3 linked regions of the Mytilus edulis genome follow. The protein of the gene in region 3 purifies or fractionates together with the protein of the main gene of each other region. This does not show direct contact. Links are inferred from orthologs where the notes say so. Each region holds a gene or a part of one and is shown on either strand. Other genes may lie near its edges. The genes, in order: leukocyte tyrosine kinase receptor-like; ras GTPase-activating protein 1-like; 1-phosphatidylinositol 4,5-bisphosphate phosphodiesterase gamma-1-like.

Evidence for each region.
Region 1: the proteins of 1-phosphatidylinositol 4,5-bisphosphate phosphodiesterase gamma-1-like (region 3) and leukocyte tyrosine kinase receptor-like purify together in Homo sapiens (affinity purification with western blotting; 3 studies listed by BioGRID, with this or other methods). This does not show direct contact. The link is inferred for Mytilus edulis from reciprocal best matches to the Homo sapiens genes PLCG1 and ALK.
Region 2: the proteins of 1-phosphatidylinositol 4,5-bisphosphate phosphodiesterase gamma-1-like (region 3) and ras GTPase-activating protein 1-like purify together in Homo sapiens (affinity purification with western blotting; 3 studies listed by BioGRID and IntAct, with this or other methods). This does not show direct contact. The link is inferred for Mytilus edulis from reciprocal best matches to the Homo sapiens genes PLCG1 and RASA1.

Annotation. Positions count from the first base shown.
Region 1 is NC_092346.1:97,158,900-97,169,399, forward strand, and holds the start of leukocyte tyrosine kinase receptor-like, read left to right. Parts: upstream 1-5,308; 5' UTR 5,309-5,432; coding exon 5,433-5,634; intron 5,635-10,500. UniProt on the Homo sapiens protein: Neuronal receptor tyrosine kinase that is essentially and transiently expressed in specific regions of the central and peripheral nervous systems and plays an important role in the genesis and differentiation of the nervous system.
Region 2 is NC_092347.1:29,163,205-29,174,328, reverse strand, and holds the start of ras GTPase-activating protein 1-like, read right to left. Parts: upstream 4,080-11,124; 5' UTR 4,046-4,079; coding exon 3,870-4,045; intron 1-3,869. Other genes in the region: uncharacterized protein, read left to right, coding at 7,236-7,407, 8,269-8,495, 9,176-9,245. UniProt on the Homo sapiens protein: Inhibitory regulator of the Ras-cyclic AMP pathway. Stimulates the GTPase of normal but not oncogenic Ras p21; this stimulation may be further increased in the presence of NCK1.
Region 3 is NC_092348.1:47,715,013-47,725,737, reverse strand, and holds the start of 1-phosphatidylinositol 4,5-bisphosphate phosphodiesterase gamma-1-like, read right to left. Parts: upstream 4,185-10,725; 5' UTR 3,938-4,184; coding exon 3,745-3,937; intron 1-3,744. UniProt on the Homo sapiens protein: Mediates the production of the second messenger molecules diacylglycerol (DAG) and inositol 1,4,5-trisphosphate (IP3). Plays an important role in the regulation of intracellular signaling cascades.

The sequences.
Region 1 (10,500 bases), on a different chromosome or scaffold from region 3:
CTAACTTTTAACCCATTTTAGCGAAAATTAAAATTGTCAATGTCTATTTTAGGTAAATATTTGAACCCATTATGATATATGATAAATATTTAACTTTAATAAGACTCATTTAGACAGCACAATATTGAACATATGATGTCCATTAAAATAAAGCACTAAATGTATCAAAGATTTAATCAAATGTTAAAAGTTCGTTCTAGCAGGAATATATATCCTAGAGAACGTACGTAATGGGCTCTGGATAAACCTCCAGTATTTACAGACCGTGCAAGGGCTGTATAGTCAGTCAAGGTCATTAAAAACTTCCATTTGTTGTAGTATACAACTATTGAATTGTATAAGGAACTGTTCTTTCTCTTTATCTTGTCTAGATTTTGGTGCACATTCATCTATACTTTATGGTTCTTAAAAGATTGAAATATGGCGTTTCCAGTCCTGTCTGTGCATTTACTCATGAACCTGTTCAACCTAAGCTTTTCAAATGTTAATTTTGTTACTGATTACAAAATGGAAGTCAACTTCAATAATGATGATTTTGACTTTTACCGTTCAGGAGTTATGGTTCTTGAAAGATTGAAAAATGGTGTTTCCAGTCATGTCCATGTATTTCCTCATGAACTGTTCAACCAAAGCTTTTTAAATTTAAATATGTTGTTACTGATGACAAAATTGAGGTCAAGTTCAATAATGGCGATTTTCATTTTTCCTGTTCAGAAGTTATGGTTCTTGAAAGATTGAAAAATTGTGTTTCCGGTCATGTTGATGCATTTACTCATGAACCATTCAACCAAAGCTTTTCAAATTTAAATATATTGTTACTGATGACAAAATGGAGGTCAAATTTGATATTGACGATTTTCACTTTCACCCGTTCATCAGTTATGGTTCTTGTGATATTGAAAAATGCGGGACACAAATGAATGTTAATAAATCCGGTTTGCTTAAAAAGTATAAGAAAAGAAAAGTTTAGGGGTAAATTTATACGCTCTAGAGTGCAGTGGATTGAAGAAGGTGAAAAACCTTCAAAGTATTTTTGCGGTTTTGAATAAAAAAAATTTACAAGCAAAATAATTCCCAAAGTCGAAAAAGATGATGGGAAAATTATTACAAACCAATTTGATATTTTAAAGGAGACAAAATACTTTTATGAAAATTTATACAAAAATAAGGATACTATTGGCAATGGGTGTAAACTGAGTGATTTAGAAAGAGATTTGAAAGATTTAAATTTTAATAAATTATCTGTGGATGAAAAGTTGAATTTAGAAGGGGAGATAACTATTAATGAAGCTAGCATTACTTTACAGAAAATGAATAATAATAAATCACCAGGGTCAGATGGTTTTTCCACAGATTTTTATGCCCCACCTATGATAGTAGAGGGGCATTATGTTTTCTGGTCTGTGCGTCCGTTCGTCCTTTTGTCCGTCTGTCTGTCCCGCTTCAGGTTAAAGTTTTTGGTCAAGGTAGTTTTTGATGAAGTTGAAACTTAGTACACATGTTCCCTATGATATGATCTTTCTAATTTTAATGCCAAATTAGAGTTTTTATCCCAATGTCACGGTCCACTGAACATAAAAAATGAAAGTGCGAGTGGGGCATTCGTGTACTGAGGACACATTCTTGTTTAAAGTTTTTCTGGAAGGATTTGAAATCTTTTGTTGTTAAATCTTTAAATTATGGGTCAAATTTGGGACATTTATCAGTGACTCAAATGCAGTTAAACATTACATGCTTACTAAAATACAATAAACCAAGACCTATCTCCTTGCTTAATACTGTATACAAAATTGGTTCAGGGGTTATTGCTAGTAGATTTAAAAAAGTTTTATTGGGGATAACATCAGATTGATTTACAATCTTTTACAATATACAGAAGAACATAACATTCCAGGTTTATTGATTTTAATTGATTTTTGAAAAAGCATTTGATTCTCTATCTTGGGACTTTTTGGTGTCAGTGTTGCAATGTTTTTATTTTGGTGAATCTATTATCAACTGGGTTAAAGTTCTATAATAATATCTCATCTGCAGTCATTCAGGGAGGAAATCTTTCAGATTTTTTTCAAATAGGACGTGGCTGTAGACAAGGGGATCCCTTATCACCCTACCTTTTTATACTTTGTGCAGAGATTTTGGCAATTAGAATACGGGGGAATAAAAATATTACTGGCATAACTGTGACTAGGATAGAACATAAGTTATCACAGTTTGCAGATGATACTTCACTTATTTTTAGATGGAAGTGAACGGTTCTTAAATCAAACTTTAAATGAATTAGATTAGTATGCAAATCTCTCAGGGCTAAATATAAACTTTTCTAAAACACAGGTAGTTTAAATTGAGAGTAAACGATACTGTCCAAACAGAAATTTATCCTGGGGTGCAACATCTTTTAAGTTATTGGGTATTAATTTTGATGTAGATCTTGATAAAATTATTAAAATCAATTATAATGAGAGAGTTTTGCAGATAAAAATCTAATCAAAATATGGTCAAAAAGAAATCAGATTGGGAAAATTACAGCTGTGAAAACTCTGAATTACCTGTCCTTAATCCCCTTATAATTACATTGCCAAACCCAAATCAAGAACTTGTGAAAAAAGTCCTAGAATGTACATGACAGAATCATGGAACTATGTAGACTTCAGTCCCAGACTGTACATGACAGAGTCGTAGAACTATGTAGACTTCAGTCCTAGACTGTTAATGACAGAATGATAGGACTATGTAGACTTCAGTCCCAGACTGTACATGACAGAATTATAGAACTATGTAGACTTCTGTCACAGATTCTACATGACAGAATCATAGAACTATGTAGACTTTAAACCCAAACTGTACATGACAGAATCATGGAACTATGTAGACTTCAGTTCCAGACTGTACATGACAGAATCATAGAACTATGTAGACTTTAAACCCAGACTACATGACAATCATAGAACTTTGCATACTTCAGTTCCAGACTGTACATGACAGAATCATAGGACTATGTAGACTTCAGTTCCAGACTACATGACAGAATCATAGAACTATGTAGACTTTAGTCCTAGACAGTACATGACAGAATCATGGAACTATGTAGACGTCAGTCCCAGACTGTACATGGCAATCATAAAACTATATAGACTTCAGTCCTAGAATGTACATGACAGAATCATGGAACTATGTAGACTTCAGTCCCAGACTGTACATGACAGAGTCATAGAACTATGTAGACTTCAGTCCTAGACTGTACATGACAGAATCATAGAACTATGTAGACTTCAGTCCCAGACTGTACATGACAGAATTATAGAACTTTGTAGACTTCAGTTCCAGACTGTACATGACAGAATAATGGAACTGTGTAGAGGTCAGTCCCAGACTGTACCTGACAGAATCATAGAACTATTTATACTTCAGTTCCAGACTGTACATGACAGAATCATAGAATTATGTATACTTCAGTTCCAGACTGTACATGACAGAATCAAAGGACTATGTAGACTTTTTAACCCAGACTGTACACGTCAGAATAATGGAACTGTGTAGATGTCAGTCCCAGACAGTACATGACAGAATCATAGAACTATGTAGACTTCTGTTCCAGACTGTACATGACAGAATCATAGATCTATGTAGACTTTAAACACAGACTGTACATGACAGAATCATAGAACTATATCAATGTCAGTCCCAGACGGTACATGACAGAATCATAGAACTATGTAGACTTTAAACCCAGACTGTACATGACAGAATCATGGAACTGTAGATTTCAGTCCAGACTTGACAAAATCACTGAACTATGAACATGTAAGATTCTTATTGTACATGATGTCAATTACAATGTATAATATTCTTGTTTTTCTATGGATACAATATTAAGTAGAATGATATTTTACAATACAAGTTGGACTATTCATAACAAGAAACAAATAGTAGATTGAATTTTAACTCCTGGTTTTATTATCATTGTAAAGTCTTTGATTAATTTTTCAGGTTCTATTGTTTCAAGTGAGGAAGTGGCCCAGAATACTTCAAGAGAGGAAATGTTCAAATTATAGATCCAAAGGTTTGTGGAATTTCTGTGTTATAACTATGTAATATTGCGGTTGTATGAAGGTAGGTACATGTAGCTTTGGTAACATAATATACAGTTTTGAAGAAAACCATTTAGAGACAAACTTTTATTGTAAAAATGTTGTAAGTCTGAAGAAAACTATTTTTATAAATGACTTAAATATATGGTATATTCAAATACAATAATACGATTAAGTTTAGAATGATGGATCTTAGTTTGAAGAATATTTAAAGATCAATATGGAATTTAGATATGATAGAAATATTGAAAGCAAATAAAACTTTGACACTGAACCATTGTTTTTTGTCTGGCCAAGAAATTAGTATGGACAATAAAAATACTTTCTCCACCAAACTTCAGATTTGAATGACGTATGTGAAATAAATTACATCTGGAGAACAAATGGTAGATGATGAAAATAAATGGCTTTTACATTTGGTGTTTTATTGAAAGTGATAAATGAATAGTGAAAACAAATTGGTAACACTATTTGTTTCATAAATGATAAACTGATGATCCAAATATACTGAATACTAAAACTGTGTCGGAGCTTTTTCATCTTCTTGGCACATTATACAGATTTTTTTCTGATTCCAATTAACCACGGATATATCGACAAAATATTATAAATGGTTCTGTGTTTTGTTAATGCTATCTGAAACTGGCACCAAATTATTAAATGGAAATTGTATATAAAAAATGCTTTTACATGAAAAGTTAAGTTAATATGATATCAAAAGCTCCTAATGGACAGCTTAATTATGTAGGTTTAATATTTGTACAAGTATAGTCATTTAAAAGGTTCTGGAAATTAGACGATATATCAATAAATACAAGGAAACAATAGAGAATATCTTGTCATTGATAAAACTCCTTCTACAGCTTTCTATGACATGCTTATTTACATCAACAATGATCAATGCAATGACTGTGACAGACAAATAAAAACCAAAGCAAATCGGCCACAAATTGATTGGAAATTCTTTCAATTGGAAAATATTGTTGCTCTTATCTAGAGTTATTTGATAAATGTAAAAATCGTCATTTACCAACACTGACTCTCGACATATTGCTTAGTAATCCCTCAAATGATTTTTGTACTTAACCAAAGTAATACAATTTCATGTGAGCTTAACTTCAAAAACTTTCCTGATCAGATTGTCTTTTCTTAATACGCAATTTTATAGAAAACAGGTGAATCTATTGTGGATGAGAAAATCATCATAATAAGGTTCAAAGGCTGAAAATGTTACTATATAATTGAATACCTGTTGGATTTTACTAATATTGATTTTATTGTGCTTTTTGATATTATTTTATAAATCAGCAATACTTGGATACTAGCCACTGAGCAGGACAGACTATGGTTACACCTGTTATATTCTTGTTAATCAATTTTGGAGTCTCGTTATGTTACCTGTGTGATGTTGATTCTAGTTGTGAATTAAAATCTGATAGAGAATTATGTAAAGATAGTAAAAATTGTAAAACTTACAGAACTTCTGAAAGTTCCCATGGGTTTACTGATTCTAATGGATTGGAATATGATATTTACTCCAAAAAAGGTAGGAACAAATATTTAAAGGAAAGTTCAAAAATTGTTTTAAATTTGAGTGAATGTCTTGTTAGAAAAGATAAACTCTGATTAATTGACCATTTTTTTGGAAGTTCAAATGGAAAAGTTCAGTAGGTTAGAAAAAGCTTGTAGGTTGGTATTTCAACATTTTCTTTTTCTTTTTCATCAGTGTTTATAAAAAATTGTTGGTCTTTTAAAAAAGAAGAAGTGTTTCATACAGCAATTCAATTGATAACTACAGCATATCATTTGGGATTAAAAAAATGTAAATAATTGCCTTCTATGGTAGAGTTCATAATTACTTTCACAGAAAAAAGGACACTGTTTTAGGAATCAAAATAGTCGACCAAAACCATCGAAAGCCCTGTGTATTCAGGTTTAAGTAGCAGTAGACAGAGTCCAATATGTGCCCTTGAAGGTTCTTACAATATTATCACATATTTCTAAATATATGACCAAATTATTAATACCTGAAGATAGCTCAAAACTGCTTGTTTGGCAGATTTTGTCAAACTTTGAGTATCTCCAAAAATGTATAAGAATGCCACTATTTACCAAAACTGAATTCTGTTCTAAGTTAATATTAGAATACCTTCGAATTCAACATGAAGCAGTGAATAAAATTGATTTTATGGAAATATATAAAATTTGTGAGTTAAATAATTAGAGTTAATTAGGTAGACTATTAATTATTATTCAAATTTCAGGAAGATTTGATTTTTGACTAGCATTTTGTTGACTGAATTTGTAAAAATTGATTATACTTGATTCAATAAAGGTTTGGGAAATGAGGAGCTTTTATAAAACTTGTAACAAGATCAGTCCATATCCTGGAATATAACACCATCACTGTTAACATCAAAGAAGTTTTATCTGACAAAGCAATATCTAGGCTTGTTAAATGCAAATATATTTCTAAAGAATGAGTAAATGTACATGTTAATTTAAAAAATAAAAAAATTAAGCTAAACATACTCTCAGTATAGTACACTATTAATTTATAAGCCAAAATAAGTGATATGAATTGAGGATAAATGGAGATTTAGGGAAAGTGGAATTGGCTGCTATATAATAGAATGAGATAACAAATATAAATATAATGAGATGTGACATATTGATGTGGTATATTTGTATTAGTGAAAATTTCTGTAATTTAGTTGATAAGTAATAATAGCTAGATTACAATAAATTGGAAGAATATATAATTATCAAGTTAAGGGTATTAAACAGAAGAATATATAACTATCAAATTAATGGTATTAAAATAGAAGAATATCCCTTTAGGAGTTATTGCCCTTTATAGTAAATTTTTAACCATTTTTGTCGAGCCTTCGACTTTAGTCGAAAAAGCGAGACTAAGCGATCCTACATTCCGTCGTCGTCGGCGGCGTCAACAAATATTCACTCTGTGGTTAAAGTTTTTGAAATTTTAATAACTTTCTTAAACTATACTGGATTTCTACCAAACTTTGACAGAAGCTTGTTTATGATCATAAGGTAGTATCCAAAAGTAAATTTTGTAAAAATAAAATTCCATTTTTTCCGTATTTTACTATAAATGGACTTAGTTTTTTCTGCGAGGAAACAAAACATTCACTCTGTAGTTAAAGTTTTTAGAATTTTAATAACTTTCTCAAACTATCCTGGGTTTGTACTAAACTTGCACAGAAGCTTGTTTATGATCATAAGATAATATCCAGAAGTAAATTTTGAAAAAATAAAATTCCATTTTTTCCATATTTTACTTATAAATGGACTTAGTTTTTTCTGCGGAGAAACATTACATTCACTCTGTGGTTAAAGTTTTTAGAACTTTCTTAAACTATCCTGGGTTTGTACCAAATTTGGACAGAAGCTTGTTTATGATCATAAGATAGTATCCAGAAGTAAATTTTGTAAAAAAATAAATCCATTTTTTCCATATTTTACTTTTAAATGGACTTAGTTTTTCTCCAGGGAACCATTACATTCACTCTGTGGTTAAAGTTTTAAAAATTTTAATAACTTTCTTAAACTATCCTGGGTTTGTACCAAACTTGGACAGAAGCTTATTTATGATCATAATATTGTATCCAGAAGTAAAGTTTGTAAAAAGATTACTCAGTTTTTTCTGTAATTTACTTTTAAATGGACTTAGATTTTCTTGCAATCATAAAATAGTACATGTAACAAGAGGAATATTTTTATTGATTTTTTCCCTCATTGTTGTTGAGTCTGCAATTTACAGCAAAAATAGGCGAGACACTGGGTTCCGCGGAACCCTTACAAATTTTTTGTAATCTTAGTTATTTTTTACAAAAATCTTCTCCTCTGAAACTACTGGGCCAAATTAAACCAAACTTGGCCACAATCATCATTTGGGTATTTAGTTTAAAAATTGTGTCCAGTGACTCGGCCAACCAAGCAAGATGGCCACCATGGCTAAAAATAAAACATAGGGGTAAAATCAGTTTTTGGCTTATAACTCAAAAACCAAAGCATTTCGAGCAAATCTGACATGAAGTTAAATGGTTTATCAGGTCAAGATCTATATGCCCTGAAATTTTCAGATAAATTGGACAACCCATTGTTGGGTTGCTGCCCCTGAATTAGTAATATTAAGGAAATTTCGCTGTTTTTGGTTATTATCTTGAATATTATTATAGATAGAGATAAACTATAAACAGTAATAATGTACAGCAAAGTAAAACCTAAATAAGTCATCATGACCAAAAAGGTCAATTGACCCCTTAAGGAGTTATTGCCCTTTATAGTCAATTTTTAGCAATTTAAAATTTGTAAATTTTCACTAACATTATCTACTGTAACTACTGGGCCAAGTTCATTATAGAGATAGTTGCAAGCAGCAAGAATGTTCAGTAAAGTAAGATCTACAAACATATCACCATCACAAAAACACAATTTTGTTATGAATCCATCTGTGTCCTTTGTTAAGTATTCACATAGACCAAGGTGAGCAACACAGGCTCTTTAGAGCCTCTAGTTCTGTATTTTATATTTAAATGGACTTAGTTTTTCTGCTGGGAAACATTACATTCACTCTGTGGTTAAAGTTTTTAAAATTTTAATAACTTTCTCTAACTATCCTGGGTTTGCACCAAACTTGGACAGAAGCTTGTTTATGATCATTAGATAGTATCCAGAAGTAAATTTTGTAAAAAAATAAATCCATTTTTTCTGTATTTTACTTTTAAATGAACTTAGATTTTCTGCCAGGAAACAACACATTCATGCACTCTGTGGTTAAATTAAAGAAAAAATTAATAACTTAATTTCTTATACTATTTTAAATTTGTACCAAACTTGGACAGAAGCTTGTTTATGATCAAAAGCTAGTATCTAGAAGGAAATTTTGTTAATATTTTGTACCTTTGTATCTGTATTTTACTTATAAATGGACATAGTTTTTCTTCCAGTTAACATTACATACAGTCTTCAGTTAAAGTTTTAAAAAACATTTATTAGATTCATAAACTATCCAGGATTTCTACCAAACTTGGACAGAAGCTTCTTACAATCAAAAGATAATATCAAGAGGAATATTTTTATTGATTTTTTTCCTCATTTTTGTTAAGCCTGCGATTTACAGCAAAAGTAGCAAGACACTGGGTTCCGCGGAACCCTTACAAATTTTTCTTGTTTGCAATTTAGTGTCTGGGACTAACAAATATGCTTACAATAGACCTGAGGCTGAGATTGTAATCAGAATGAAAACCTATGAGCTGTAATTGTATCAAGCATAGATACTCATGACCTTTTACCACCAAGCAAGGATATTTATGACCTGTTACTATCATGCATGGATACTCATGACCTTTTACCACCAAGCAATGATACTTATGATCTGTTACTATCATGCATGGATACTCATGACCTTTTACCACCAAACAATGATATTTATGACCTGTTACTATCATGCATGGATACTCATGACCTTTTACCACCAAACAATGATATTTATGACCTGTTACTATCATGTATGGATACTCATGACCTTTTACCACCAAGCAATGATATTTATGATCTGTTACTATCAAGCATAGATACTCATGACCTTTTACCACCAAACAATGATATTTATGACCTGTTACTATCATGCATGGATACTCATGACCTTTTACCACCAAGCAATGATATTTATGATCTGTTACTATCATGTATTGATACTCATGACCTTTTACCACCAAGCAAGGATATTTATGACCTGTTACTATCATGCATGGATACTCATGACCTTTTACCACCAAGCAAGGATATTTATGATCTGTTACTATCATGTATTGATACTCATGACCTTTTACCACCAAGCAAGGATAATTATGATCTGTTACTATCATGCATGGATACTCATGACCTTTTACCACCAAACAATGATATTTATGACCTGTTACTATCATGCATGGATACTCATGAACTTTTACCACCCAGCAACAATACTTATGACCTGTTACTATCATGCATGGATACTCGTGACCTTTTACCACCAAGCAATGATACTTATGACCTGTTACTATCATGCATGGATACTCATGACCTTTTACCACCAAGCAATGATACTTATGACCTGTTACTATCATGCATGGATACTCATGAACTTTTACCACCAAGCAATGATACTTATGACCTGTTACTATCATGCATGGATACTCATGAACTTTTACCACCAAGCAATGATACTTATGACCTGTTACTATCATGCATGGATACTCATGAACTTTTACCACCAAGCAATGATATTTATGACCTGTTACTATCATGCATGGATACTCATGACCTTTTACCACCAAGCAAGGATACTTATGACCTGTTACTATCATACATGGATACTCATGACCTTTTACCACCAATCAATGAT
Region 2 (11,124 bases), on a different chromosome or scaffold from region 3:
GTAGATAATATTTTACTGATAATATCTATCATTTACACTTTCTCTATAGAATTTCTATACTTTGGACACACACAAATAAATGGTACGAAAGTTACCCCCACTTGTAACTACAATATATAAACAAGAGTCAATAAAGGGACATAACTTGAGAACAGTGAAAGTAATGCCACCCATATTCAATCTTGATATGTGTTAGTGGTAATAATTTGTGTTGAAAGTTCATATACCATTTGGTTGAGGCAAAGTAGAGTGTTAATCAGCAAATTCAGGTGTTTTTCCATTTATAAAGGGACATAACTTAGGAACAGTGAATCTAACACCAGCCAAATTCAAATTTCAACTGTTTGGTAGAAATAGGAATTATGTTAAAAGTTTCATTTGGTTAAGGCAAACTTAAGTAAGAAAACAGAAACAAATTTCAGGTCATGCATACAGATAGATAAGGGTAAACCTTTTAAGCCCCCTTCAAGAGCATAAAAACTTTTAAATCAGCAAAAATCCTCATTTCAACCTGAGCAATAACTCTTTGAGGAGTCATCAGACCGCTAGGTAGATTAATAAATGGAACCACTTCTTGCCACGTATCCTGTTTAAATTGGTTTCAAAAATCTTGATTTTCCTTTATAGTCACCATTTTTGTTTACCTGTGTGAATTGAAGATCACTTCAGCTAGTTGTTGCCTTTATACTGATTTTGATGGCAACAATTTAATACTTAGCTATAAGTTAAAGCGATTTTGAAAATATTGTTAACTTATGCATTAAGCTTAATCCACATTTTGGCTGCAAGATTATTCCCTGAGGTAATATTAATTTACAGTAATAATCCTTTGCAACAAAAAGAAAAGCTTTAATTCCACAAATCCACAATTTTCATTAACATACTTTCATTTTATTTCATTTTCATAGAGGAACAAATAGCATACATATGATAGATTCAGGAATTTCTTTTTTACATCTTTTTGTTGTAAATGTTGCACGCCCATTTAAAAATGGGCCCTTAGAAAAAAAGATTGTCGTCAAGTTGGTTATTCTTCAATCTTCCAACTTAATGTGTTTACATATATTTATAGCATGTTTATCATGTATATATTTTCAATATCAGTTGAAAGAATAATTGAGGGGATTTTGGTTCTGCTTTTGTTTTCCAGTTGATTGTTGACTGCTCATGTATATGATTAACTTTCCAGAATGATATAATGAGTACAAATAAACTCATCTTTGATACCATGCCAGGATTAAATTTAACAAAGAGAAAATTAAAGCAAACATGTATATAGTGTAATATTCATGCCTCCATTTCTTTTTTTTTTTACTTTTTATTCAATGAGTCGACAATGTCATTGGTCTAGATGTACAAGAAAGATATTTCTATACATTTATAACATGATAAATAGATGAAAAATTAACAAATAATAACAATACTTATGCATGTTTTTCAGCATCGAAAAAGTCATTTTGCTAGAAAACTTTAGTCTAGATACTCATTGATTCAAACACTATTACTGGCCAAACACCCTCCAATCTAAATTGGACATGTTGGAAGGAGACATTTGTAGGATTGCAATTAGGGATAAGGGGGCCACCTAAACCCAATCAGAGGCCTTGTACCCTGACAGGCCATTAGGGGGCCAGGGATGCTAAGTGATGATCAATTGATATTCAAATCATAGGCTGAATTGATTTTGTCAACAAAATATTCAGGATTCTAGTATTTTATTGTGTCATTTAAGAAAATCTGAGATATTTCAAGTGACAATATATAATGCTGACCATGAAGGAAACATTTTTGACAAGATAATCCCAATTTGTTTTTTTATGAACAGACGCACATTGTTACATAAGTATGTGCTAGTAATAATTTATTGTGTCTCTTTGACCCCTTTGGAATATCAGAATGGGACATTTACAGTGATCTGGAAGGTTTTTCTCACTATGGGCCCTGGGCCCCTCAAAAATAAATTCAATGGGCCATTTTAAAAAATAATGGGCCATGTTGTCAAATGAGTGGGCCATTTTAATTGACTTCTGTAAAAAAAAAGATATCAGTATATTTTGGCAAAGAGGTGTTGATACTTACCTTTATGATTTTAAATAAAATCATGGATATTGTTCCTGTGATTTTATTATTTCAATTTCAATGAGCATACAATAACTTCTTCCAACCCCAACAATATTTAAGTCAACCTTTATTTACAATGTTTAAACTGGTACTGTTGCCTTGTTCATGTTCATGGTTTTTTTTTGTACATTAAATTTGGGTCTTCGTCGATACCATACCTATTCGAGACATTCCGTATCAGAGGACATTTCAGGCATTTCCTCTGCACTTCTTGTATTATTATAACTTCATCACAGTGACAAGAATAACATATATAGTACCATTCATAGAACATACATTGTACATTAACAACAAATCGCTGAAGTCATGTTTACAAAATGTGAAAACGAGCCAAAGACCAAAAAATGACAAGGACAGTTAGGCGTCTTTTATGGAGACAAAAATTATATTCCTAAAAAGTCTTGGGGTTCTTCAATCAAAATAATAATAAGCTAAACTAAATGAGATTATTATTAGAGTTAAATCTCGTCTGTACTAGCCATATTTAACAAATTTAAAGTTGTTTATAAACAAATATATCATGAATGATGGTTAATTACGTTTTTCGGGTTATCAGTTAGACCGCAAGGTTCTATTATTACAATAGGAAAACACCGAGACGTTAAATCGCATGGTTCTATTATGATAGGGAAACACCCGAGACGTCCCAAAAATATATAGGTGCTCCTATTATTGGAGGAACATTACACAGTTGTGTACACACACATGGCGGCACGGAACACGATCGGAAATTCATTTGACGATATCTAAACATTTTGAAACAAAGTGAAAAATATCATGCGCCACGTGGGCGCTTACATTTGTCACTGTATGCACCATTTCTTGTCAATATGTGCTATAGGCGCACGTCCTTCCCGATCACTGCATTTAAACCAAAAATGGACAAGGTGCAATCCCAATGATCTCTCATTTTTGTAGATTTGCAATATTTCAACCCAAACAGCTATGTCAAAGAAGGGTGAGGGTGAATCTCCCTGGTTTAAAGTTGAGTTAGCAGGTGTGATATATCGATGGTCATTGTTAACAACAGAAAAAAATGAAAACATATTTAAATGACCAATTTATAAATTAAGGGATGGATCTGACATTTGAAGTAGATCCTAAAATGCTCAATCTTAAGGCATGTTGGCACAAACTATCCCAATGTGCAGGTTTTCTCTTTTGTGCTTTTGCTCAGCATATTTTCCTCTTTGTGCAATAAAATGGTATGCGCTGGTTGCATGTAAGATTGGGACATGACATAGCATGATGAGTAAATAATAAGTCGACAGTACCACTGCAGTTTGAAATATGCAAGTCCTAGTTGCAGAACCGTAGCTCTATTCCGCAAATAGACAAAATATCATAACATAAGGACCTAAGAGCTACATGTACCATTTTGAAGCTTCCCCGAATCAGTTCTTTTAAAATAAATAAGTCTCCCTAGCTCACATTATCGTATTTTTAATAAGCCAAATGATTTTTGAGGAGGCATCGACTTCAAATATTGATAATAAATTTGTTCAATTGATTTTAAAGCCCATTAAAAGGATATTATGATTTGCTGTTTTACCAGGAAATAATTATAATTTATCCTAATTTGGATCTGTCAACTAATTTATAGACATTTTGTTTTCTTAACTTCGCCTGCATTTGAAATATTTTTGCAAAAATCATGCTGATTATCAAAAACAGTGACTGAATCATCTATGTGATTTTACGTTGTAATATTTATGTACAAAATGAAAATTTTAAAACGAAAAACACACCGGTTTTCGGGTGGCGCATTCATTTTGATGAACAGTGTCTGCTCAACATTATCTTGGTTTTCTAATGAAGGATCTTCATCATCTGCATTTTCTGTCGTTGTGTCATCAGGGCTCAATGCAGGGCTGGACAGACTGTGACCACTTGTTGATGGTGAAAATTTGTTTTTGTCGGCCATTGTTACTTTTACGAAGATGAATGAGCACCTACATTTTGATTGGACAAAATTATTTCCCGCCAAATTTGGCAGATTCATTCATCAGTTCTGACCTTTACTTTTGAAATAATTTTGAAGAACATTAATGTTCTTCTTCACTCCAGCTTCAATTATTTAGGTTTTCATTCACCAGGTGTTTAGACCTTTCGACTGAGCAAATTTTCGAATTTTACGATGTAGAAAAGAAAGAGAGGGGCGAATTTGGGGAAATAGGGTGAGTTGGCTCTTGGGTTGAAAAGTGGGGGCGAGTTGTCGTCCTCTAAGAATTAAACAGAAAGTAGAAATTTTGCTAACTGCATACTGATAATAAATATCAGGGAACAAAACAACTAGAGGAATAAAAAGAAGAAGGTACGTCGAGCAAAATCAAAATATGATTTAAGGAATGGGAAATATGAAAAGGGTTGAAAAGCTGATACTGTTTTAAACATGTTTAAAATAATGTGTAATTTACAAAACCGAAAGTAGACATTAGTGTGAGTTCGTGGTCTAGTGGTTAAGACCGATGGCTACAGTGCTGAAGGTCCCGAGTTCGATTCTCACTCGGGGTTCTAAAAATATCAGCACATCAGAAGGGTAATTTTCACCCTCTCACACACATCTCTGGTACCCAGACCGGAGTTTAAACTAGAATGTGTACTTTGGGGGCCTGGGTTGGTCAAAGTTGTCCCTTACTTTGACCTGGAGATCAATCTTCTGATATCTCTCTGGTTTGTCTGTTTCCACCGAGTGGCCCGGTGGTTCTCTCCGAGTACTTCGGCTTCCTCCACCATAATAACAGACTGCCCAATCTAATTAAAATTAAATCTCTCACTCGCTCATTTTTTAATGCTTGGTCGCTGCGAGTGAGAGATTTAATTTTAATTAGATTGCAGACTGCCCGGTGTCCTAGCACTCCCTTTGTGTTGGGTGGGGATTGATTGTCCTTGGAAAAATAATTGTCGTATAAACATACGTTAGTGACACATCTCCATTAATCCCGTTAGGGAGTGTACATGGATGCCACTGTACCCTCGCAGTTTTCAAGGGGTTCTTCGGATATCGGAGGCATTTACCAGTACATACAAATGTACATACATACATCGCCCGAGTCAAGAGACATTTAAATTAATACAATTACATGTCTCTGTCTGAGCATAAAACAGGGACAGATTATTCTTCTTTATAGTTAGTATAGGCTGTCCCTGATAGAAACGAGCAAAAAGAGGAAAGGTATTTTTTTCAAAAAAAATCTAGTTTTTGCAGGTGCACACGTACAGCTCATTCTCGAGGATAGTAATTACTAACTGTCAGTCGTTTAATGGTTATTTTTGGCTACCATTAGCGTCAAATTGGTTTAAATCTTACTGTGATTCATCCAAATATCCTTATCTGCTCATTGTGATTCGTCAGAGATCTCAAATAAATATTGTTACCATTATGTTAATAAAAAAATTAACATAGAATTGAGAATGGAAATGGGGAATGTGTCAAAGAGACGACAACCTGACCATAAAACAGAACAGCAGAAGGTCCACAATAGGTCTTCAATGCAGCGAGAAATTCCTGCACCCAGAAGTGTCCTTCAGCTGACCCCTTAACAAATATATATACTAGTTCAGTAATAATGATTGCCTTACTAAACTCCAAATTATACACAAGAAACTAAAATTAAAAATAATACAGGACTAACAAAGGCCAGAGGCTCCTGACTTGGGACAGGCGCAAAAATGGGGCAGGGTTAAACATGTTTATGAGATCTCAACCCTTGCCCTATACCTCTAGCCAATGTAGAAAAGTAAACGAAAAACATGAATAGTCAATTTCAATCGAATCTTTTATCGTCTTCTAGAAAGTACATTAAAAGTCGTGCACCATTACGGTTAACGTTGTTTGGCAAGAATTTTTACTGTTTTTCGTCTTGAACATGTTGAAGGTAGCCACATTTAACTGCCCTCATTGTCTCAACCCAAAACAACACAAGTTACTATAGCTACTTCAGTATGTGAATTTCTTCATCTTTTATATATTGTTTTAATATTTATGTATATTTTATTTTATTCATTCGCAGATGTTAATCTAAAGACTCTTTTTCCTGGCTGTGGACTTTTTCGTCCATAAGTTAAAAAAATTCTCTTCATTTCTACTCAAATAAATTTTGAAATTCTTTAACATTTCTCAGCGATTCTTCCTTTATTGTAAACAGTCTGACAACCATAAAACAATTTTGATGAAAAATTTGTAGAATCTTTGTCCAAATAAATGTTGGAATCACTATAGTTTATTTGAATCTGCAAGTATCCTAGCTGTTACTAATTGGCATATATTTGTAAGTGCAACTTTCATACCAATTGAAAAGCCTGATTTTGGTGATATTCTGGAGTCAAACATAATATAATTTTCCTTCAAATTTAATTTCCTTTTCTGTTCAGTATGGTACTTTTTTTGTCAAGAGTTATTTTTTCAATTAGATATTATAGAAAAAACTTGATTTTAATATGACGTGTTTCTTTCGCTTTATGATAATAAACCATGCATGCTCTAAATCCAATATTTTTTTTTGCACATGCGTATATTGACTACTGCAGAATAATGAATTTTATCAAATTGGCATGCATTTAATATATTTCATTAAATTCAAACACTTCCAAACTCTTAAATGATGCACATATTGTTATTAATTCATTTATTATGACTGTAATGTGTTGCATTCCAAAATTGACATATTTGACCTAGATACGACAACCGAATATTTACCACCAGAACGCTTGAGTTTACACAATTTAAATAAGCAAACAACAATATATCAATCATATCAAATCAAGTTCAAAATCATTTTAGTCAAATCTATGAAGTCAGCAGGACTGATCAGGACTAGTAAGGAAAGGGAGCAGTATAAAAAAAAAGTCCTCGATTTATCATTGATTTGATACATTGAACAATAATATTTTATCATGTTTGTAGAGATAATCCAAAAATAATGTTTTATTATTTTTCCAGGACTTTACAATCAACAACCATAATATTTAAGAGGGAACTATCCAATCCACAACAATAATATTTCAGAGGAACTATCCAATCCACAACAATAACATTCAAGAGGAACTATCCAATCCACAACAATAATATTTCAGAGGAACTTTCGAATCCACAACAATAACATTCAAGAGGAATGAGCATATTAGCCAAAATATTTCCTCTAAATGAAGATGGTGCAAGTGATAATTATGAAAAGTTTAAAGCCTTCTGGAGCCAGGTTGAAGGATGTAAAGTTGAAAAGATTGATATGAAGAACTATACCCCACCTAGAAAAGCAGAAGACTTTAAAAAACAGTTAAAGGATTGTAAGTTATAAATCAAACCACGTGAGATTATTGTTATGAAACAATCAATCAACAATCAAGGGAAACTTCGCCAAAAAATTAAAAATTGATATTATGTCCATTCTGTATAAAAATGCTCAAATTCATAAATTAATATTAAAGTTTTATTCTGCTAGATAAGTGATATCACCATTGATTTTAAATTTAAAGTATCAATTCTCTGCATGTGTCCATTTTGTCATCCTTTCCAATTAGGAGCCACGATATGTCTATAAACCACAAAGGACATAAACTACAGTAACCAAATGAAGTCGTAATTGCGTGTCGGTGTCAATGAAATCGTACGATTGTTTTATCCAACTTACTAACTTGATACGGAAAATGTTATTATTTTTTAAATAACCATGGTCTGTCGTTTAAAACTGTTTATATAGGAATTAGTTAAAAAGTCAAAGTTCAAAGTCATAAATGATAAATGCCAATGAGAAAATTAACTCTCCTCCATCCAAGTCACAATGTATAAAAAGTAAACTATTATAGGTCAAAGTACGGTCTTCATCAAGACGCCTTTGCTAACACCAAAAATCAAGCTATAAAGGGCCCCAAAATGACTAGTATAAAACAATTCGAACTGGAAAACCAATGGTTTAATCTATATAAAAAACAAGGATCAAGAACCACATCAACAAACTTCCTACAACCACTGCATGAACAACATATTCCTGACTTAGGACAGGTGCAAACAAATGGTGCTGGGTTTTAACCTTCACCTTAAGCTAGCTCACTATAAAATAAATGTAATTGCTGTCATAATAAAATAGATAGGTAGGAAACCTAGAGTTGTAATGTAATGTATATAGTATAACACTATTTTTTTGCCAGTGAAAAATACATTTGAGGAAGGAGGATATGAATATCTTGTATTAGCTGTCAGTTCACATGGGGTCGAACAAGAACAAGACACTGTTGAAAAAGATAGTACCGGTAATGACAAAACAGGAATTGAAGTGTCTTTAGAAATTGCATGGCGATCAAACAGATACAAAGTAAATGAGCTGCTGAAAATATTTGAAGACGTTAAAGATAAACAGAAAATTTTCATCATGCAGGTACTATCATGATTTAATTTGCACTTTAATCTTCAATATGTTCATTGCTTTGAATCCTTTCGTAAAGGTAATTTACATATCTAGAAATGTCAGTTGTTTACGCTCTGTCTAAAATGTTAAAAGAGAAAAGCAGCATTATATTTTCTTGCCTATGCTCCTTTCAGTCCATTCATTCCTTAATCCTTTAAAGTAATTAGTTTATGGTGCATCGAAATGAATATATATGTACCAAGTTACAAGTTGACCTTTTGATTTAATTTTAAAATCAAGATAAAATAAAAATCTAATACTAGTACACAACAACTGCAAAAATATCAAAGGAAGATGTTTTTTATAGCACAATTGAATTGATGTTAATAAAAACAACCAGTTACAGTAACTTACTGCAGGGATGGTTGAGTTCTGAACAGAATAATTGGAATTGAAATTTGCAATTTACCACTAATAAAAATGTTTTATTTCAGGAAAAACACTTTTCTAAAAGATATCATTACTGTAAGATATGTTTTACATTAGAGCTATTTTTCTAATGCTTATAGTGCAAAGGTACCATTGGCTTACTTTCTTTGGTTTTTAAAAGTTTGCGCACAATATATCTATTAAAGCTTGCTTATTGGGTAGCTGTTTCTGATGTCCTTTCAGGGACGGCAAGAATGTAAATTTGTATTTATATTTAACAGATGTGCAGAAATAGATCAGATGAAAGAACAGTGACTAAACTAGGGAGAGACCAAGGAGTGCATCATTCAAGTTAGTATGTAGGGTCTTTATTATTTTTGCCAGTTGAAGCGATAAATAATTTAAGATGAGCCTTATTTATACACACAATTATTATACTGATATATCATTAATATATAGATTTATATTAGCAATGTCTTAGACCCTTTTCTTTGAAAATCAGTGCTGATCAAATATTTTTAACAAGTTATGCCCCTTGGAAAAGTTCAGTATAAGAAAAAGAAAATTTACATTTGCTTTGAATCCTCCATTTTTCTAAGATATTTATAAACTGTTCCAAAAATGTGTGCAACAAGGGGGACATTAGAACTCTTTTATTTTATATTCAGTATTGGAATAACAGTAGGGGGACAGTCAGTGTAACCCTCCTGGAATGTGTAGTTGCCTATTTGATCCTCTGGATACCTGATATCAGATTTTGGCAGAATTGAGACATAAATCAAATAGAACCAACAATTTATTTACAAATGACAACATTCATATAAATCATAGTCAAATGAAATGAAAAAGAATAGTAAAAGTTCAAAAATAAGATGTAATGAAACAGTAATAGTTTGCAAACAAAATGGTATTTCAGGTCAAATGAATTCAAATAAAAAAGGAATTTTCAAAATCTGAGTTGAAAAAGTAAGTGAAACTGTATTTATATACTTTGTGGTGGGTTTCAGAATTAAGTAAAGCATAACAATATAATGCCAAATTAGTTGCTAATATTAAACTTGCTGTAAACATTTAGCACACTTACAATATGAGTACTTTATTAAGTACACTCAACATAGAATGAAATTCAAAACAGTGTAGCTGTGGCCATTGATTGACACATTAAATTCATCCATTGACTGGGACAATTTACGTGAACGTTTGTCTGTAACGACCACTGTTCACGACGTACCTATGATAGACATACAAACTGTGGGGTCACCAAAGGTTTCTTAACGCCTTTAATTATAAAATAATTCGAAAATTGAATCAGGAATAACCTTTATGTTTTGATTTATATAATTGATATCAATCAAAACATCGTGTTATTTCTGATTAATTTTTCGAATTACTTTATTAAGGTGTTGAGAACCTTTGGTGACCCGATAGCTTAAGTGTCTTTAAAAAGTACATAGTGAGAAGTGGTCGTTACATACAACGTTCACCTAAATTGTCCCAGACAATGGATGAATTTAATGTGTCAATCAATGGCCACATCCACACTGTTTTGAATTTCATTCTAGAAGTATTTTATTAAGTACACTCAACATATGAGCATTTTTTTAAGGAACATTCACCATAGGAGTACATTTATTAATGGCACTCACCAATATAGTATTTTATTAAGAACACTCACCAATAGAGTATTTAGTAAGGGAAACTCACCATGGGGGTACTTCATTAAGGACATTCACCAATGGAGTATTCTATTAAGAACACTCACCATAGGCGTATATTGTTTAAGAATAATCATATGAGTATTTAATTAACGGGGTAAGTTCACTCATCATTGGAGTATTTATCTATTACATTCACCATAGGAGTAATTTTTATAAAGATAGTCACTCATCATTGAAGTATTTTATTTACTACACTCAATGACAGATCCAGAGGGGGGTTTCTGGGGGTTGGAACCCCCACTATTTATTGACAATCAATACATTTTATATATTGGCCATTAATATCACTGAGCATCATTTGATTTCTAAAAAACAAATTTGTAGGGTTCTTTGATATGCTAAATCTAAGTGTTTATTTATATTTTTGATTGTAGGCACAGAATTCAAGTTGTTCCGAATTGGGGTCTGAAATTAAGATTTCATAAAAAAATGAATTATTGGTGTTCTTTGATATGCCCAATTTTACAATGTTTTAGATTTTTGATTTTGGACACACTTTCAAAGTTAATCCA
Region 3 (10,725 bases):
ATCAAGGATTTGTATATCTTACTATACAACTCCTTAGACAGATATATACATAAATCAGTTTAAAAAAAAATCAATAATATCTGCAAGATAAAGAAACACTTTAAATTCAATATCTATTCGACCTATAGATTTATATGCACAAAATACCTAACATGTCAACTGAAAAATGAAATTCAATAAAAAGTCAACAATGCAATATTTCGGTCACAAATATATCAAATATTTTGTACACTATATAATGTACATATATGATAACTTATAGAATTCAGATCAAAAAGAATATGTCAAGTATAGATCTTGTAGTTGTAAAGTATGGCATTATCAAAGTTTAAAACTTGTACAGTTTATATATATATTGACCCCAAATAATAAACTCATGTTCCCAAATTTAAAACATAACACATAGCTTTTTAATATTTTGCATTGTGCATGTTTCACATTATATACATGCATTTCTGTGGATAGCTACATCCTAGTTTGTGTTGTCTCTTTAAATTTTGTGAATTGAAAAATTCCAAAGGTCTTTAGTTGCTTAATCAAATTTTGTAATGATTGTGCATTGTACAAGTAGATTGTATAATCACAACAACTGAATATTACTACTCTTAAATGTTTAAAATATCTTATTCAACAAGTTTCAAATCTTTTTTTCACACTAAGATTATCAATTGTAATTAATGACGTATAATCATATAATCACTAATTGACTGCCAACCACTAAAAATCAAAGGGGGTCTCATTGGGGGGTTCCGATCCCAGATCCCGCTTATTGTTTTGTCAGATTCCTGTATCCCGCTTACACTATGTACATAAGCAATTCTCACTTTTTTTGTCATTTCCCGGGTCCCGCTAGACCTCATTTCCCGTTTTCACGCCACAATAATTTGACTTTCACGTGTCCCGCTTACAAAAAATCGGCAATCCCGCATCACGCTTAGACCCCAATGAGACCCACATCAAAGGCAAGTCCGCATGCCATGTGCAAAGTATTGCCCAGCCTCTGTTAAAGTCTGTTTTAATTACCAGATTACAGGTTAAAGTATCCAAATTGTCAACATTGAAAAATACATTTTATGCTACTGTATATATTTGTTATCAACAACTAATTTAATTTTTCATCAATTTACATAAAAACATGCATAATATTGTTAATACATAATTTCCTCCAGTAGCATTAAATTGGGGGGGGGGGGGGGTTCCAGCTCATTTCTGAATTTCCAGTACATGCATATGTTATTTGGACATGTGGAAAATAAATTAGCTAAAAGTATCATCATAAACATTTTACAACATAATTAAGAAAAAGCGTGTAAGCTTAAGATGAAGACATGGGTAACTTCCCCATCACTTACATCAGATGTGAATAGGTTTTCCTGTTTTCCCTACTAAGATGGTTATCACAAAGCCAAATACTATAAAAATTTCCTTGGTAGTAAATTCCTGTAGTAGTAAAATTTTTGCAGTTCATTTTGTAGTAATATTTCTGGTTTTTCAGTTACCAACAAATGCCAGTAAAAATTAGTAAAATTATAATTAGCCACAAAAATTAATGTTATTAGGATCAGGTTTATACAATTTAAATCTATCTAAAATGAAGATATCACAGAGACTTTTGAATAAAAAATTGATTTAAAAAACTAGATGTGTACAATGGGTCTGGGGTAGGGGAATCTAGAACCCCCCTTTTTTTTATGATCAATGCTTTTGAATAGGGACATACATGTATAGTTGTAACCCGCTCACCCTTTTTAAGACGGGCTGGATCAACCCCTAGACAATTTCCACCTCAAAACCAACTTGTGGATCTTCATAATCTTGCAAACAATTTCTGGTGTTTTCCATATTTACAGTTCAATTCTATCTTACATAGACTAGGCAAAAAAGACTATACTGGGTATATACTTGCAAATCTATTTGTAGATCATACAAGTAACATGTACCTACATGTTGCTTGTCATTTTGGTGTTTTAATTTCAGTTTGAAGCCATCATATTGGCATTTGCACAAGATTGGTTGTGTAATCAGTTTCTCTAATAATTTTAGAGGATATGTCAGACATGGTAGAAAAACTTTTATCTTTTTTCCAATGCTCTGCATTTAAGCATGTGTTCTTTATTTGTGATGTTGTCAGGAATGATTGGCCTTTTTCATGATGTCACAATAAGATTTTCAGAGGACAGGAATATCTGACATGTATATCATGACATAATTGAATTTAGACCCCAAGAAGAACTGAGAGCAAACAAACCACACGCTAATTATTAAAAAATAACTGGTCAGGAAAAGTAAAATGTAGTAAGAATTAGAGAAATACATGAACAAATGTAAGTACAATGTACATGAATGTATTCTACCACTGCATCAAGTGTGACATTTCTCCATGAAGCAGTTCCCCTTTCAACTTTAAAAGGAGTCTTGCTTAGCCATTAAAATATTCAAATTTAATTAAATATCAAGAGCAGAGATACATCAACATCATACTGTACAAGATTCTATGATGGAATCTGTTTCTGTAATGGATGACCACTATATACATGATATATAGTTATTACTAGTATTCTTAAAATTCATAAACCTTTTTTCGTTACATATATATTCAGTATGGGCCCCAACTAAAATGAACTACAAGAGTGTGTTTAAACTAAGTATGCTAATTACATGAATTAAATCTATTATCTGTTTAAACTGGACAATTTAAACATGTTAAACATGTTAAAATAATGTCTAATTCCCATGATTCCATTGATGCTTAATTAGAACTTTATTGTAAATCTTTAATGGAATATGGAATTAATGATATGCATATATATCCCTCTGTAGTGTAGATAGCGTGCGGGAGAATTCAAACTCAATGGCTCCAAGAGGTTGGCAGGTACTTGCACTTTATGCTGTACTGTGTACCATTCTGGACAGCAGTGTCTACAACTCCCAAAGTCTGTTGTGTTGTGTTCATGTAATGCAGATCAAACAAAATGAACAAACTTATCAAACAAACAAAATTACCAGACATGACATACATGTACATTGTAATTCATGCAGGCCCTTTCACAGTATATTATTGCATTGCAGTCATGTTGAATATGGGACAGATTTTCATATTTGAGAAGCAACGTTAACAGTTGCAAAATATTGGAAAACATTATTAAAACAGAACAGTAGCTTGGATACATGCATTATCTAAAATTCCAAAAAGTATCAAAAGATTTCAAAGAGGCATTGAACATGTTCAACATGTTCAATTGAAAAAAAAACTTGCAATGCCATGGCAAAAGAAAAAAGAATAAAATGCAAACACCGGTTCTACCACAAAACACAACATTAAAGTTTGCTGTCCATTTTGGATTGGAGGTTGGCAAATAAAGTATTTGTTAGTTTGTTTGTATATACATGTACATGTATTTCAATACCAGGATCTACGTTAGTCCAAATATTTATAAAAAATATGACATTTTGAAAGGCAATTATATATTTTTCTTTGGCGCCTTACATTACATGTCGCAGGAAGGCGTCAAGCAAAAATTTAAAAATACATGGCGCCTTCCTAGATGTCATATAATTATTTGAGATCAACATGATCAATGACAATGTAGAATACTTGACCATGTTGACATAAACATTATAAATTACACATTTGTTTATGCTTTGTGAGCCATCACTATACACTTATAAATATATATGATATTGAATCAGGATTTGAAAAGGATAAATCCCATCATCAGCATCAGCTGCACTGAATGAACTTACATGAACCCTCTGGTTTTCCTCCTTGTGCTCGTATCCATACCAGTTGTCTCGTTTCTATTCTAACTTGCAAAGTTCGTTTCTCAGGTCTTTTATTCTTTCCAAAAAATATTGTCACAACAAGTCCACGTTCCAAACTTCTGAATCTGGCCCAATCATCGTTTTCTATTTGATTCCCATTGTAAAGTGCTGCCATTTTTTTGGAACTTGTTGCTTTGTTTACTTCCCTTCATTAATTAGTCTTTTTTCTAGTCACATGTCATAACGTATCCTTGTCTACATGTTTTATCGTGAAGAGTTTTATTTATTCATCTTGTTATTCATTTTTGACACTTAAATATATATCAAGATATATGTGAATTTAGGTTTTTGGATTACCTTCCGGGAACGTCTTTTCCAAGGGCGATAACTACGGGCACCTGTTGCACAAGGGAGCTAACTCTAATGTATTTTAGTTTGTCATGATAGAAATACGCAACATTTCGCTAAACAAATTAGCTTCATCAGGCGTATGCATCTCTCAAGGTGAAATCGGATGCATGACAAAAATATATTTTGTAGCTTAATCTATACAAGATTTGAGGAAAAGTGTAACATATTACAAAAAATATGTTTGTAGCTACAACTACATGAAGTTGGAATAAAAGTTTAACACATTTATATAAATCAAATTAAGGTGGTATGGGAGTCTAAAATAAAAATGATAGAATTTGTTCATACTTTGCCAAAATGTTGTATCTATTGATACATGTTGAAAAATATAATAAAAATGATAGGTCATCGCGCATTTTCTCAAGCTACAGGACGGGACAAAATGACACATTTTGTATGGATTATACAGGAAAAAACAACATTTTGTGATTAGAAACTAAACAAAATGATAGAATTGTTAAATACTTCAGGAAAAGATAGCTTTCAGACACTGCTTTGAGAATATCAAAAGAAAAGATAGGGTCACCGTACGTTTTTTCCGGCTAAAATATAAAATAGGAACATTCCATACAGAATCCTTCAGAAAATGCACTTTTTAAGAGTTACCTCCCCTTAAAATGCCAATTTTAAAAAAAGATAAAAACAACCAAAAATAATTAACATTTGCAAAAATATCAATATTTAGAAGTTATATTCTTATAAATTGGTACTTTTAAATGAAAATGTACATTAAACATCTGCATTCCTGCATCAAATTTTGCTAACTTGATGTAAAATCTAGACCTTTGATTCTCTGTTTTTTACAATCCAAGATGGAGGAAGACACCCATACCACCTTAAATCAAATATTTTATTGTCATATAAACTTTACAGTTTGTGACCAACATATATTAATACATTAAACACAATAAACATATATACATACATATTAAACATACAAAATATCAACAGCATTAAAATTGAGGGCCCTCGTGGGGTTTTTGATTATGTGATTACTTGGCCGTTTTTTTAATGATTATTTGATTATTAAGCCAAATATTTCATGATTATTTGATTACCTAGGACTGTATTTTTAGTTTATGATTATTTGATTACTAAAGATAAGCAAATATTTAATGATTATGTGATTATATTGGCAAAAAAATGGTGATTATGTGATTACTAGGACCCCCCATGAGGGGCCTCAAAATTTATAACAACAAACAAGTTGTTAAGAGTCCCCTGCCCTCAGTTCTAATGACTTTTTCAAGAAGGATCCTAACTTATTTGTTTGTAAAGGCGATGATGGATTTAGTAAATAATGATTTTTTTCTTCTTCATTTAAATTATTAAAGTTATTATTTTCTGTACATATGTGATGAAAAAAGTCATTTCTTAGAGTTTTATTATACTCACAATATAGTAAAAAATGTTTCTCATCCTCTAGTATTTTACATTTATGGCAAAGACGTTCCTCTCTTGGGATTTTAAATATCTCCCCTTTTCAATCAAGAGGGAGTGATCACTTATTCTAAATTTAGGTGATTAATCTCCTTATCTGAAAATTAGATGTATTTAGATAATATTCTAGTTTGTAATCTTTTTTAAGTTTTTTATAGAGAAAAAATTTACTTTTATCATCGATGTTTTGAAATTTATTTTGAATTAAATCTTCATATCTATTTTTCATTTTTAACTTTATATCGTTTTTTATTTTATTTACATCTTTTATGTCTGTAATGTTTATTGGTCGCTAAGGTTACAGTTGAGTAGAATCTTAGTGTAGAAATGCATGGTTTACGCTAGAGAAAAGAGTAACGAAGATTTAGACGTTTGGCGGGAAAATTAGTGGCCGGGTCGAAAGTTATAGGGGTGATAGTAAGGGACTCTCTATGCTCCGTGAGGATAACATTTAGAGAACACCCCTATCAAGTAAATAGTGGTATCGACCCCGGGTATATAAGAGAGTGAGAAACAGCATTCGGGGCTGTCGGTTGGCTGTCGATGAGCGTACGTTGGTTATATTAAGCGCGAGTAAGAGCCTTAATATTCAAAGGACACTTTGTACCGGGTACAAAGTAAACGTACAAGTTGAACGGATTGACAAGGCGGACTGTCCCACTCGGTGGACAAGTTGTTCCAGCCCGCACTGTCTGGTAGTGACAGGTTGTCCCACTTGGAGGACAAGTTGTACCAGACCGCTCTGTCTTGTATTGACAGACTGTCCCATTCGGAGGACAAGCTATCCCAGCTATACTGTCTCTAAGTGACACATCGTCCCATCTTGAGGACAGGCTGGTTTATTGTATTATATTTGTATATATATAATTGTCCGTTGTTACTTTATTTCGACAAAGAGTCAGTGTGTATATTTTAGTTCAATGTGCATAATTTAGATAGTTGTAGTTTTTAACATTACCGTATTGTTTGTGGACAACTTGGATCCAAGTATTTACTGGAACGGATGTTTGAGATATAAACGCCTGGTTACACGTTACATATTTGGTGGCTAGCGGTTGGGATTCAAGTTGTCTATCAAATACTATTTGATTGATTGATCGTTTAATTTATTGTCAGTTAACCTCAGTGTTTACTTGAAAGATAAAAGTGAACCAACCGTGAGGCATAGTTGTAAGTCACGGCTGAGTTGTAACACGGGTGTATTATTTAATATAAATTGTTTTATTTTGATTACACTGTACTGCTATAAATATGTCAAATATTGACGATCAGATAGCGGAAATAAGTAGACAGATACAGTCTCTTAGCGAAAGCACAATACAATATGGACAAGGTTTAATATCATCTACACATAAAGATCAGAGTGAACGTCCGAAGGTTGTTGAAAATAAATATCGAGATTTCCATCACAAGCAGGAATTAACGAAAAATCAAAGTACTGCTCATACTGTTTGCTCTGGTTCGGATTATGTTAAAATAAAACCTTCAAAATATGATGGCAATACTCCTTGGATAGATTACTTAGCACATTTTGAGATGTGTACCCTAGTCAATATGTGGTCTGAACACCAAAAAGGTTTGTACTTGGCCGTGTCACTGATTGGACAGGCTCAAGCAGTCCTTGGTGATTTACCAAAGGAAAAGAGACAAATATTTTCAGACCTAGTTAATGCACTTGAGGAACGCTTTGCTCCTTCAAGTCAAACTGAACTATACCGAGTTCAATTCAAGGAATGTCGACAAAAAGCAAGCGAGACTTTGCCGGGGTTAGGTCAGTCAGTACGACGACTTTCTAATCTGGCCTACCCGACTGCTCCGTTAGAATTAAGGGACACGCTCGCCAAAGAACAATTTATAGATGCGTTAGTAGACTCCGAAATGAGACTGAGAATTAAACAGTCCCGTCCAAAAGGTCTTAACGATGCTATACGATTGGCAGTTGAGCTTGAAGCGTATAACACGGCTGAGAGCAAAACACTGAACAGTATGGGTCATTTACGACATACTGCTGGTGACGAACGGACAGAAACACCTAATAGTCTTGTTACGGCTGTATCTATGGAACAAATGACGACATGGATGCAAACGATTCAGAATAATTTACTGGCCATAGCAAAAGAGATTAAAGATTTAAAGTCCCAAAGAAAGTTCCAACAAAGGGAGAAGATAAATAACACACAAAGTAAAAGGAAAAGGTGTGGTCCCTGTTTTAGTTGTGGAGAAATAGGGCATTTTGCAAGAAAATGTCCTAATAATAAGTAGAAGCAAAGTGCTCCAGATAACAACGGAACATATACAGACGGTACGGTCAAGACACTGAAGTCTGAAGTTAAGTCTTCAAACAATGACAAAGGCGATGTTGTTTCAGCTTCAGAGGGTAAAGGTATTTTTGTGGAGTTGAGTATTCAAGATGTACCAGTAAAGTTTGTGGTTGATACGGGAGCTACACTTAATATAGTTTCTTCAAAAGTGTATGATTTAATACCTGACTTGTGTAGGCCACATTTAAGTGAAACAAAGTCCCAGATAAAGTCAGTTTGTGATAAATATTTAAGCCTTAATGGTAAGGGTAGTTTTACACTTGAGTTTGGTAATGAGAAGTTTATTTCAGAGGCTGTTGTAACTGACTTACAAGTCGATGGCATTCTAGGTTTAGACTTTATGAAGAAAAATAAGTGTCTGATTGACGTGCCTGCTAACCTATTACATATTGATAACGTTAGTGTTCCCCTGCTCTTAGAAGGTGCAAAAACGAGAAATACTGATGTTTGTAGAAAACCTTGTCGGTTAACATCAGACAGACAGTCAAAAACGGACCGTGATTGTTCTAAGAGAAAACAAAGTCCGGTCAACATAGTCACAAGTCAGATGCAGCACAAAAGTAAAGACTTGGCTTTAATAGAGTTACAATCAAATGACTCGGACCTTAAACTTGTTAAGCGCTGGTTGACAGAGGGTCAAAGGCCACAGCACAGTGAGGTATCCGGTAGGGGATACTTTATTAGGTCATTATGGAGTCAGTTTGGCTGTTTAGAAGTCCATGGTGATGTAGTAGTTAGACGCCACATGGACTGTGAATTTAACGTTGTGAAATTACAAGCGGTAATTCCAATGTCTGAGCGCAAGCAAGTTTTACAATGCTGTCATGAGACAAAGTGTTCAGGTCACCTAGGTATACATAAAACTATAGAGAAAATACGTCTTTCTATTGGCCTGGTTTGCAATCCGACGTTAGGACGTATGTTGCTGGTTGCAATCAGTGTACTAGGAGAAAACGCCCAATGAAAAGGAAACGTGCCTCGTGGAGATTAGAGGACAATGGTCGTCACGAGAGTAAGCGACCAGCCTGTATGGCTGATAATGTAAATAAGTAAAATTTGAATTATGTATAAATGTTGTTGAATTAAATTTTGTAATTTTAAATATAACATGCGGGACGCATGTAGATTGAGGCGTGGGTTATGTAATGTTTATTGGTCGCTAAGGTTACAGTTGAGTAGAATCTTAGTGTAGAAATGCATGGTTTACGCTAGAGAAAGAGTAACGAAGATTTAGACGTTTGGCGGGAAAATAAGTGGCCGGGTCGAAAGTTATAGGGGTGATAGTAAGGGACTCTCTATGCTCCGTGAGGATAACATTTAGAGAACACCCCTATCAAGTAAATAGTGGTATCGACCCCGGGTATATAAGAGAGTGAGAAACAGCATTCGGGGCTGTCGGTTGGCTGTCGATGAGCGTACGTTGGTTATATTAAGCGCTAGTAAGAGCCTTAATATTCAAAGGACACTTTGTACCGGGTACAAAGTAAACGTACAAGTTGAACGGATTGACAAGGCGGACTGTCCCACTCGGTGGACAAGTTGTTCCAGCCCGCACTGTCTGGTAGTGACAGGTTGTCCCACTTGGAGGACAAGTTGTACCAGACCGCTCTGTCTTGTATTGACAGACTGTCCCATTCGGAGGACAAGCTATCCCAGCTATACTGTCTCTAAGTGACACATCGTCCCATCTTGAGGACAGGCTGGTTTATTGTATTATATTTGTATATATATAATTGTCCGTTGTTACTTTATTTCGACAAAGAGTCAGTGTGTATATTTTAGTACAATGTGCATAATTTAGATAGTTGTAGTTTTTAACATTACCGTATTGTTTGTGGACAACTTGGATCCAAGTATTTACTGGAACGGATGTTTGAGATATAAACGCCTGGTTACACGTTACATGTCCTTACAAGTAGAAAGAATATTAAGGTCAACGTTAGTCTCTTTAACAATATTTTTAGCATATGTATACCATGAGTAAGTTCCTGTCAAATCTAGAGACTGTGCTAGAGAAAAAGCTTCCTTTAACAATGGATTAATATTATTATTATATAGATGTTCGATTAATTGTATGAATTTCTATAAATTAATTTGTATGATTTCAAGATAATTATGGTTTTGATTTGCTTTTAAATCTTTGTTCGTCTCTCTCATTGAGTCCATCAGGTTCGATCAAGAGTTCGTAACTGGTGCATCCAAAATCTCTCTCTTTTTTGTCTTCCTTGTGCATGTTGTGTATCCCAATTTTGATTTTTCTCAATGATTAGAAATGTGAAGATTTCAAAATCATGTCCTGCTCTTAAAAGGTGTCTTGTAATTGGGAAGTTCCTTTCTTTTGTATTAAATTACCGATGGTTATTTAGTCGGATGTTAAATGGTGTTTCTGTTTCACCAACATATTGTAATTTGCAAGTTCCACACGTTAGAACATAAATGCAATTTTGCGTTTTACAATTTGATGTTATAATATACAATTACTGTCTTTTGATGAGGTAAATATGTGGTTTTATTGACTTTTGAAAAACTGATATTCACTGAGGCCGACGGCCGAAGTGAATATCAGTTTTTCAAAAGTCAATTAAACCCCATATTTATCGAATCAAAAGACAGTAATTGTTTTATTCCATATTCAGAGAAGAAAATGTATTTAATCACAAACATATACCAAAACAAATTTGACATGAAACATTTTACCATAACGTTGCATGAAAAAGCGCGTGACGTTTAGCGCGGTGAATAACACTTTCCCAGGTGAATATGCTTTTTTATTCAAAATCCAATTCGTATA